Xenopus tropicalis: one gene and its partner. The protein of the gene in region 2 purifies or fractionates together with the protein of the main gene of each other region. This does not show direct contact. Links are inferred from orthologs where the notes say so. Each region holds a gene or a part of one and is shown on either strand. Other genes may lie near its edges.

Region 1 (3,825 bases), on a different chromosome or scaffold from region 2:
AAGTGTCAGCACAATATAAATACCAGGAAATAATAACAATTGTTTTAAACCCAATTCCAAACTTACCTGGCAGGGCTAATTTATTATTTTTATGCATTTCTTTGAAAGCCTGGTTTAAGTCTTCTGATACTTTGATGTCCTGGAACATTCTGGCTAGTTTATTTACATAATCAGCTGGCATGCCCACCTCCTAAAAGATATACACAACAGAACAAAGAAATGTAGTATGTTACACAGTGAAAGATTCTTGCCCTACAGATATTTACTTTACCAGCGACTAGCTACCTGCAATCAGTCTACTATGGGTTTCCCTAAACTTGCTCCATTTACAGTGCCCACTGTTTGGGCACTGTCTAATGTCAGTTTGAACAGCTCAAGTGATAGTTACCCTGAGCCACTCCACCATGTTTTCTTCTATTTCACTGTCGGCGGAGATATCTAAAATGAGGCGGCGTGTCAGGTGAGCCTTGTGGTACCTCATGAACACATCCTTGTTCTGCACATATTTTAGCACCAACAGCTGCAGGGGAAAACAAATACAGTCCGTTATATTTTTTTTTATTCCAGTAATTAATTTATTCCAAATATGTTTACAGGTAGGAAATCAGAAAAGAACATGTAAATTGAGTTTAACCCATTGTCATTCAATTCTATCGGTCTATTGGTGTTACATCAAGGGTGTAGCTCTTCTATGGTTTTCTGCAGTATAGCACAGTTGTAACCAACACCATCTCTTAACCTGCTGTATAATGATTGGTTTCAGCCCCTCTTACACATATCAGAGAAAGATCTCTCTCCTTCATAACAAGCCTGAGTTGGGAAGGGTGACACGTCATTTTCTTATAGAGTTTTTGCGGCTATGAGCATCTGTGCCACTAGCTTGCTGTTGTCTGGGGGCCTTAGTGAATTAATTGGTTTGCCTAAAAGGTAAGTTGAGTTTCTGCTGTTTCATATTCAGTCTCTATACAGCCTACTTAGTCCTACAGAGCCCGGTAGGTGAAGGAAGCTGGTGTACTGCTCATCAGATGCCAAATGCTGAATAACGTTAAGGTTACCATTTACCTTTGAATGCAACAAAGCCCAAATCATAGTGTAAGAAGGACACAAAATGTGTTCTGTACATACCACTTCCTTCAACTTTGCCTCGATTTCCTCAGAAGTCAGTTTCTTACTGAGTGGCGTTTTCCGTAACAACATATCACAATAGTTAGCGAGCAACTCTGGGCACTTGGACTCCGGCTGTGTTTTCAGACCCACCCTTAAATGAGAAAGAATCCCATAATAAGAATAATGATTGTTACTAACACCACATTTTGGATTTATAGATCCAGGATGCTCCTACCAAAATAATATACATTATATTGTCATAATGGGAAGAGGTACTATGGAACCTTACCTGTACATCAATTTATTTCTAACCCCTGCCCTTATCTCTACCCTTGTCTGAGGATCTATCACGACAGCCCTCGCCTCTCCCAGCTATTCTTAATTTGTTCCTTATAAATAAGTATAACACAAAATCATTTAGCCTGAGAAATATATAAATCAAAGAGAATAACAATTAAAGACACATGTGACTTACCCTTTCTGCTTTAGTGGCAATTCAAGTTTAAATATTGTTGCATCATTTACAACAGCTTTGTATGCCTGAAATAAAGGGAAACAGGGAAAATTTAAACTGGACACTTAATGCTTGGCAGAAATGTAATATTTATTGAATTGGCACACTGGCACAGATCTCTGAAGTCCAATGCAATGATTACACCAGGTTTTATTTTGTATGTATATTTGTGCAGTACATATATTAACAGCTTCTCTAAAGATGCAACAATTTTTCTTTCAGATTTGACCTTATCTCGGTGACACCCTCTTTCTCTCTTTGTCCATAATATAAATCTCATCCCAAAGAACCTATATACCTATTATAGGGCACAACTGAGATTAACGAGCTAGAATGGGTCCACTGAGCACCTATTATCATACAAAATGCAGAAACAGTATCACATATTTATTTCAATTAAACGTCATTAACCTGTAAATCAAATTGCCACAAAAACAGACGTTAAATTGTTTGCACATATATCTACATGTATGCATCTATAAAAGTTATGTTTTAATTGTATCTCTCTTTACTCTCCCCCTCCATGAAATAGACGGTTCAGTACAACATCATTTTTATACAGTCCAGCCAATGAATACTTGGTATGTCAGTAATAGGACCATGGTGCTACTCTATTGGAAGCTTGGCCACACAACCACTGTTGCTCTCAATTCTGTTTACAAATTCTAATTTCCATAGAAATTATTTTCTGTGCCCAGCAATGCCTTCAAAAGTAATGGAATAGCTTTAGAAAGTGGATTTATTTTACCTTTATATATGTTGGGCCAACATACTCAACATTTACGTAAAACAACAATAAAATGTAATACTAAAAAATGTTATATTACCTTATCTCGTGCAGTGAGAAACCGTGGATCGTCCTGGAAGGCTTCTTTTACTAGTTTACTAAATCTATTAAACAGGGTCAGTAATTGTTCAACATATTTTTCAGAATCCTTGAGACAAGTAAACAAAAAAAAGCATGGTATTAGTACTAAAGAAACCCTTCTTTTGTTGTAATGCAGAAAACAGTGTGCAACAGCAAAGCAGTTATGTGAGTGTGGGGGGCGGGGCACATAAAGTGGCATTACACCATGTTAAATCTAGAGTATTAATTCATTTTGGTTTATGTGAAGCAGGGTAACATTCTAATGTAAGGGGGAAGGAATCTCCTCTGTACCATTTTTTTTTTCACCTGCAGAGGCCTCCCTCCCCCCCACACCTCCCAACCAACACCAATATGGCCCTGCTCCCCTGTGCCTCATGTATGACAGACTGACTTCCTCTGCCCTTGATATCCAGCAGACAAAAGTATGCACAACGGAAGCCAGGACCATATCAGTTTCAAATGCACACAGTCCTGGTTGGCATGCAGTGGTCAGACATGGCAGCCATTGACCCTGCTGTGCTGCACTGCCTTTTACTGTAAGGTCTAAGGAAGCAAGGCTGTATTGAAGTGTGTGGATGGTGAGGTTTGGTAGGGCCCTCTGCTGGGGATTAAAGTGGTATGTGCAGTTAAAGCCAAGGCCATATTGGCTTTAAATGTTCTTGCTACTAGTTGGCAATCTCTGCCAGAGAGAGGGGGTCCAGTGGTATTGGGGACACTCACTGATGATGGGTAAGTTCTGAAGGGACACCTAAGTCCAGGTCCAGACTCAAAATAAGCCTTGGTATTACAACTATACAGAGTTGCAAATGGCCTACACCAGCCCAATAAATAATGACTGTCTATCGCATCTTACAGCAGCCCCTCTGGCATTTGCTAAAATCCACATATTGCCAGTCTGAACCAGCCTGAAACCCCCACAGGTGTCACCTGAGACAACCCAACAACCATAATAACAGCCCCCAACTTTTTTTTTTTACATAAATGTTGCTCACGGGTAAAAATGTTTATGGACCTCTGACAAGTAACTATGTGCATGTCATGCCATTTGCAAATATCTAAATAATAAAGAAGGAGCCTATAAAAAGCTGTGACTTGCAAAGTCACATTTGAAGCCTTCTGTGATACATTTCATGCTGGGTGGCTGAATGCTTTCCAATACTATTTTTGTTTTTTACATTATAGCAGTCGTTTCTGCTAACCACCTTATCTCCGAGTCTTGTTGTAAAAGATAAGGTTCTGGTAGGTAAAATTACCAACAGTGTTCAGACATGGCGAGAGCCAACCCTGTTACCCTACTCTGCCATTTATTATGAGGTTCAAACATGCAAAGCTGTAT
Region 2 (4,326 bases):
CAGGTAACACATATTTCTGCACACATGTATACACAAAAATACACATCTTTAAATGTTATTTATTTATGTTTTTGCTTATTTTCATTTTCACACTATTGGGCATATTTGCACACAAACACATGCATTTTCCAAAAAATATAAGGTTATCCGGTGTCTTGTGACACAACATGAAAGCAGGGGGATTTTCATGTTGGGGGTGCTACAGGCCACATACTTTGATATGCCTATGCATATTTGACATCAAGTGGTTAAGAAAACTCCTGGTGTTTTATCTTTGTATGTAAGAAACGCAAGATAAATGTATCAAATTTAATGACAATTTTTAGAAAAACCATAAAAAAACACTACACTTAGGAAAGTTTTGTAGTTTGAAGTCTGAAGTGTTATTAGAGCTTCTCCAGCAGAATCCTGCATTGAAATCCACTTTTTAAAAGAACAGATTTTTTTTAAGATTTATTTTTGAAATTTCACATGGGCCAGCCATGTTCTTCATTTCCCAGGGTGTGTGACCTGTGCTCTAATAAACATCAGTCACACTTTACTGCTGCGCTGCAAGTTGTTTCTTTTTGCATTAAGTCCGTGTGTGTGTGCATGTGTGTGAAGGATCTTTTGTCTGGTCCTAGGTAGAAAATTTGCACGAAGATCCAATTCCCTTCCCATCTGTACAAGAACCCATTATCGTCTGCGAGCCATGGTATCTCCAGAGGACACCATAGAAGGGGTGTACTTTCATCCTCGCTCCCCCCAAGTAGTCTCACCATTGTTTCAATGGCTACTAATACTCCTACAACTCCAGTAGTGCCACTACTGTTTCAGTTCCTCCTTTAGCTTGTTATCTAGATTGTAAGCTCTACGGGGCAGGGACCTCAATCCTCTTGTGTCTTTGACTCTTAACTTATTCCAACTGTATCTTGTATTTATTTATTTGCATTTATTGTTATACTGTGTATTTATCTATTATTATCTTAATAACCCCCTGTTTGTATTAATGTATTCTACTGTACAGCGCTGTGTACATAAGTAGCGCTTTATAAATAAAGAAATACATACATACATATTGGGCACTGGAAATGTAGCAATGCAGTAGCTGATGCATACAAATACTTTAAAAGAAAGAAGTAAAACTATATATATTAATAAATCATTTAACAAAGATTAGCAGCGCCTATAGTCAGTGGGTAGACCATAACCAGGTATTTACATCTCCAGTTGGGATCCTATAGGTACAGATTATTAGCAACATGGTGCACCATGTGAAAGACACACTCATTAACAACAGACAGAAACTTGTCAACTTCCTCAAATTTTTTTGGAAGTCGCACTGATTTGGCTTCCCCTCCCCATTTGCAGTGTGAGCCCAATCTCCCACTTCCTATAGCTTGCACATTCATTCACATTCGCTCTCACAAATTTACCAACAATAAAGGCAGCGCTGGACAGAACTACAATTGTGTCAAGCCACATAAAAAAGGATTTAATTAGGGATCAATCAAAAGGAAATATTTTGCCAAGATGACAGCTTCGGAGTCCCACAATCGAATACCATAAGGGAGCCTATAGTACTAAAAACTATTCAACTGTTGGCAATAGTACTTTTCATATACCCCAACTAAGGTTTAGATGAGTTTCATGTGGAAGCTGCTTTCATGCATGTATCTCAAGTACTGTCAATTTTTTAGCGAAGATGAGGGCCTCTATGTAAGTAAAAAGGTTGTAGGATCTTCATAAAGAACCCATGCATATACACACAGACAGGAACAGTAGTAAAGAAAGAGTGGGTTAAAGGAAAAAGAAAGTCAAAGTCACTTGGGGGTGCCAAAATGTTAGGCACCCCCAAGTGACTTTGCCCACCTACCTGGTGCCCCTGTGAGGAGAGAACAGCACCAGCCCGGGGTAGCTGCCGGCGCTTCCTTCTTCCTGACTCGCTGCGCGCGCATGCGCAGTAGAGTGAAAAGCCGAACTTAAACATTAAAGTCGGCTTATCACTCTACTGCGCATGCGCCCACCGCTGGCATTTCAGCAACGGAAGCCAGAAGAAGGAAGCGATCCGCTCCAGGTACCCCGGGCTGGTGCTGTTTTCTCCTAATAGGGGCACCAGCTCGGGGTACGAGGTAAGCGGTTAAAGTCACTTGGGGGTGCCTAACATTTTGGCACCCCCAAGTGATTTTGCCTTTCGTTTTCCTTTAAGCTGGGAATGCACTATAATATGGCAACGTTACTAAACAAGCGGAACTTTCGCCATTTCATCTCCAACACACTGGGATGACACAGGATGATCCAATTGTTTTGTCAATGGGCAAACAATCAAATCATAATGGTGGCTTGAGGAAACCATTGGCAGAGGACTGCATCAATGTGCCAATTCAGTCCTTATCTTACTGGATTTTCACATCTGCCTGATATAATACCTGGATGATTTTTGGCTGTGTGTTGGTGGGCAGGCTATCGGCATGGGCCAAAAAGCTGCTGCTCTGGTCTGTAGGGGGCGAGTAGGCAACTTTCGTTGACCCATGCATGGCACCCAAGTATAATAAAAGTCATAAATAGGATAAATATGAGCAATTCAAATAACTGTCCTACTTGATATGTATGTATTGTTTAGCTCCCCCTCAGTCAGCAGAGCTTACACTTTACATACCTCTAAATGTAACTATTTCATATAACCAACTGCCAGACGTGTCCCTTATTCATCCCCTGCCTACGTATAAGGCTTTTATTCCATTCCATTCTCCATTCTCATGGGGATTGCAAGCTTTTAGGCCTATAGAAGTGTCATTGTCAGGAACAACTAACCCCATGGCGAAACTTCAGCTCAAGAGACTGCAATTCTCTCAATAACACAAAACATAGAGAACAAACAAAAGGTAATGCCAAAAACAATGTTTTTGCTTAAAGTAAGGCACTTAATGATATGAACAACAATGTATTCCCCACTAAAGCTGTAGCAATACAAAGAGGATGACTATGGAACGTCTGGCATTTCTGTTGTTATTAAAGTACAATTCCATACCGCCCAACAGTGCCGATGTTCTTAACGCAACCCGCAGTCCCGGATCGCAGCTTAAACGTCCCACAACGCCGTTAATGCCCAGCTCCTTGGCTCCTGCCGGACAGCTAACCCCCGACGTCACAACTCTCATCTCGCGAGACTGAGGCGTCACGACCGTACGTATAAAAACGCGGCGACGCGGCACGTTTACGTCTGAGGTGAGGGGCGGAGGTGGGTTGCTAAGGAAGGATGCTAAGGAAGGATGCTGTAGTATAGTGTATAGCTATGGTATAGTGTATAGGTATAGTATAGTGTATAGGTATAGTATAGTGTATAGCTATAGTATAGCGTACACAGTCAGTAGGTGCGTCAGGGTGCGGGCGTGAGATACATTTTCTCAATACAAAAATTAGTATGCTCTGGTTTCTTTCGTGGCAGTCTCCAGCAAAGATTGCTGCCACCCAAGCCTCAGCTCGATTGGTCGCAAGTAATTGTGTTCTGTGCTAGACGGGCAGATTTATCAAAATGTGAGTTAAGAGCTTTATGCATAAAAACTCACCCATGTTCTCTTCATTCCTATGGGATTTTTTGAAGTGCGTGAAAGTTAGAGTTTACCATTTGATAAATACATTTCTAAAAGTCCCATAGGAATGAATAGAACATGGGTGAGTTTTTATGTATTAAGCTCTAAACTCAAATATTGCTAAATCTGCCCCTAAGGGGCTGATTTAACAAAGTCCAAATAGGTACGATTACAAAAAAAAAATTTTTTCGTTAATTTCTGCTACTTTTTCATACTTTGCATCAATTTTGTGCGACAAAATCATATTTGTTGCAACAAGTACGAAAGTTTAATTATTCATTCAAGCTTCAGTATCGTGACTTTCCTTGGGCCAGGTTGGAGCTGCAGAGTGCCATTGAGCCCTATGGGAGACTTTCCTTGGGACAGGTTGGAGCTGCAGAGTGCCATTGAGCCCTATGGGAGACTTTCCTTGGGCCAGGTTGGAGCTGCAGAGTGCCATTGAGCCCTATGGGAGACTTTCCTTGGGCCGGGTTGGAGCTGCAGAGTGCCATTGAGCCCTATGGGAGACTTTCCTTGGGCTGGGTTGGAGCTGCAGAGTGCCATTGAGCCCTATGGGAGACTTTCCTTGGGCCAGGTTGGAGCTGCAGAGTGCCATTGAGCCCTATGGGAGACTTTCCTTGGGCCAGGTTGGAGCTGCAGAGTGCCATTGAGCCCTATGGGAGACTTTCCTTGGGCCAGGTTGGAGCTGCAGAGTGCCATTGAGCCCTATGGGAGACTTTCCTTGGGCCGGGTTGGAGCTGCAGAGTGCCATTGA

Evidence for each region.
Region 1: the proteins of socs6 (region 2) and cul5 purify together in Homo sapiens (affinity purification with mass spectrometry; 5 studies listed by BioGRID and IntAct, counting the BioPlex papers as one, with this or other methods). This does not show direct contact. The link is inferred for Xenopus tropicalis from reciprocal best matches to the Homo sapiens genes SOCS6 and CUL5.

What each region holds. Positions count from the first base shown.
Region 1 is NC_030678.2:159,951,503-159,955,327, forward strand, and holds part of cul5 (cullin-5), read right to left. Parts: intron 2,557-3,825; coding exon 2,449-2,556; intron 1,648-2,448; coding exon 1,583-1,647; intron 1,259-1,582; coding exon 1,126-1,258; intron 521-1,125; coding exon 389-520; intron 191-388; coding exon 67-190; intron 1-66. UniProt on the Homo sapiens protein: Core component of multiple cullin-5-RING E3 ubiquitin-protein ligase complexes (ECS complexes, also named CRL5 complexes), which mediate the ubiquitination and subsequent proteasomal degradation of target proteins.
Region 2 is NC_030682.2:101,218,854-101,223,179, forward strand, and holds the start of socs6 (suppressor of cytokine signaling 6), read right to left. Parts: upstream 3,113-4,326; 5' UTR 3,011-3,112; intron 1-3,010. UniProt on the Homo sapiens protein: SOCS family proteins form part of a classical negative feedback system that regulates cytokine signal transduction.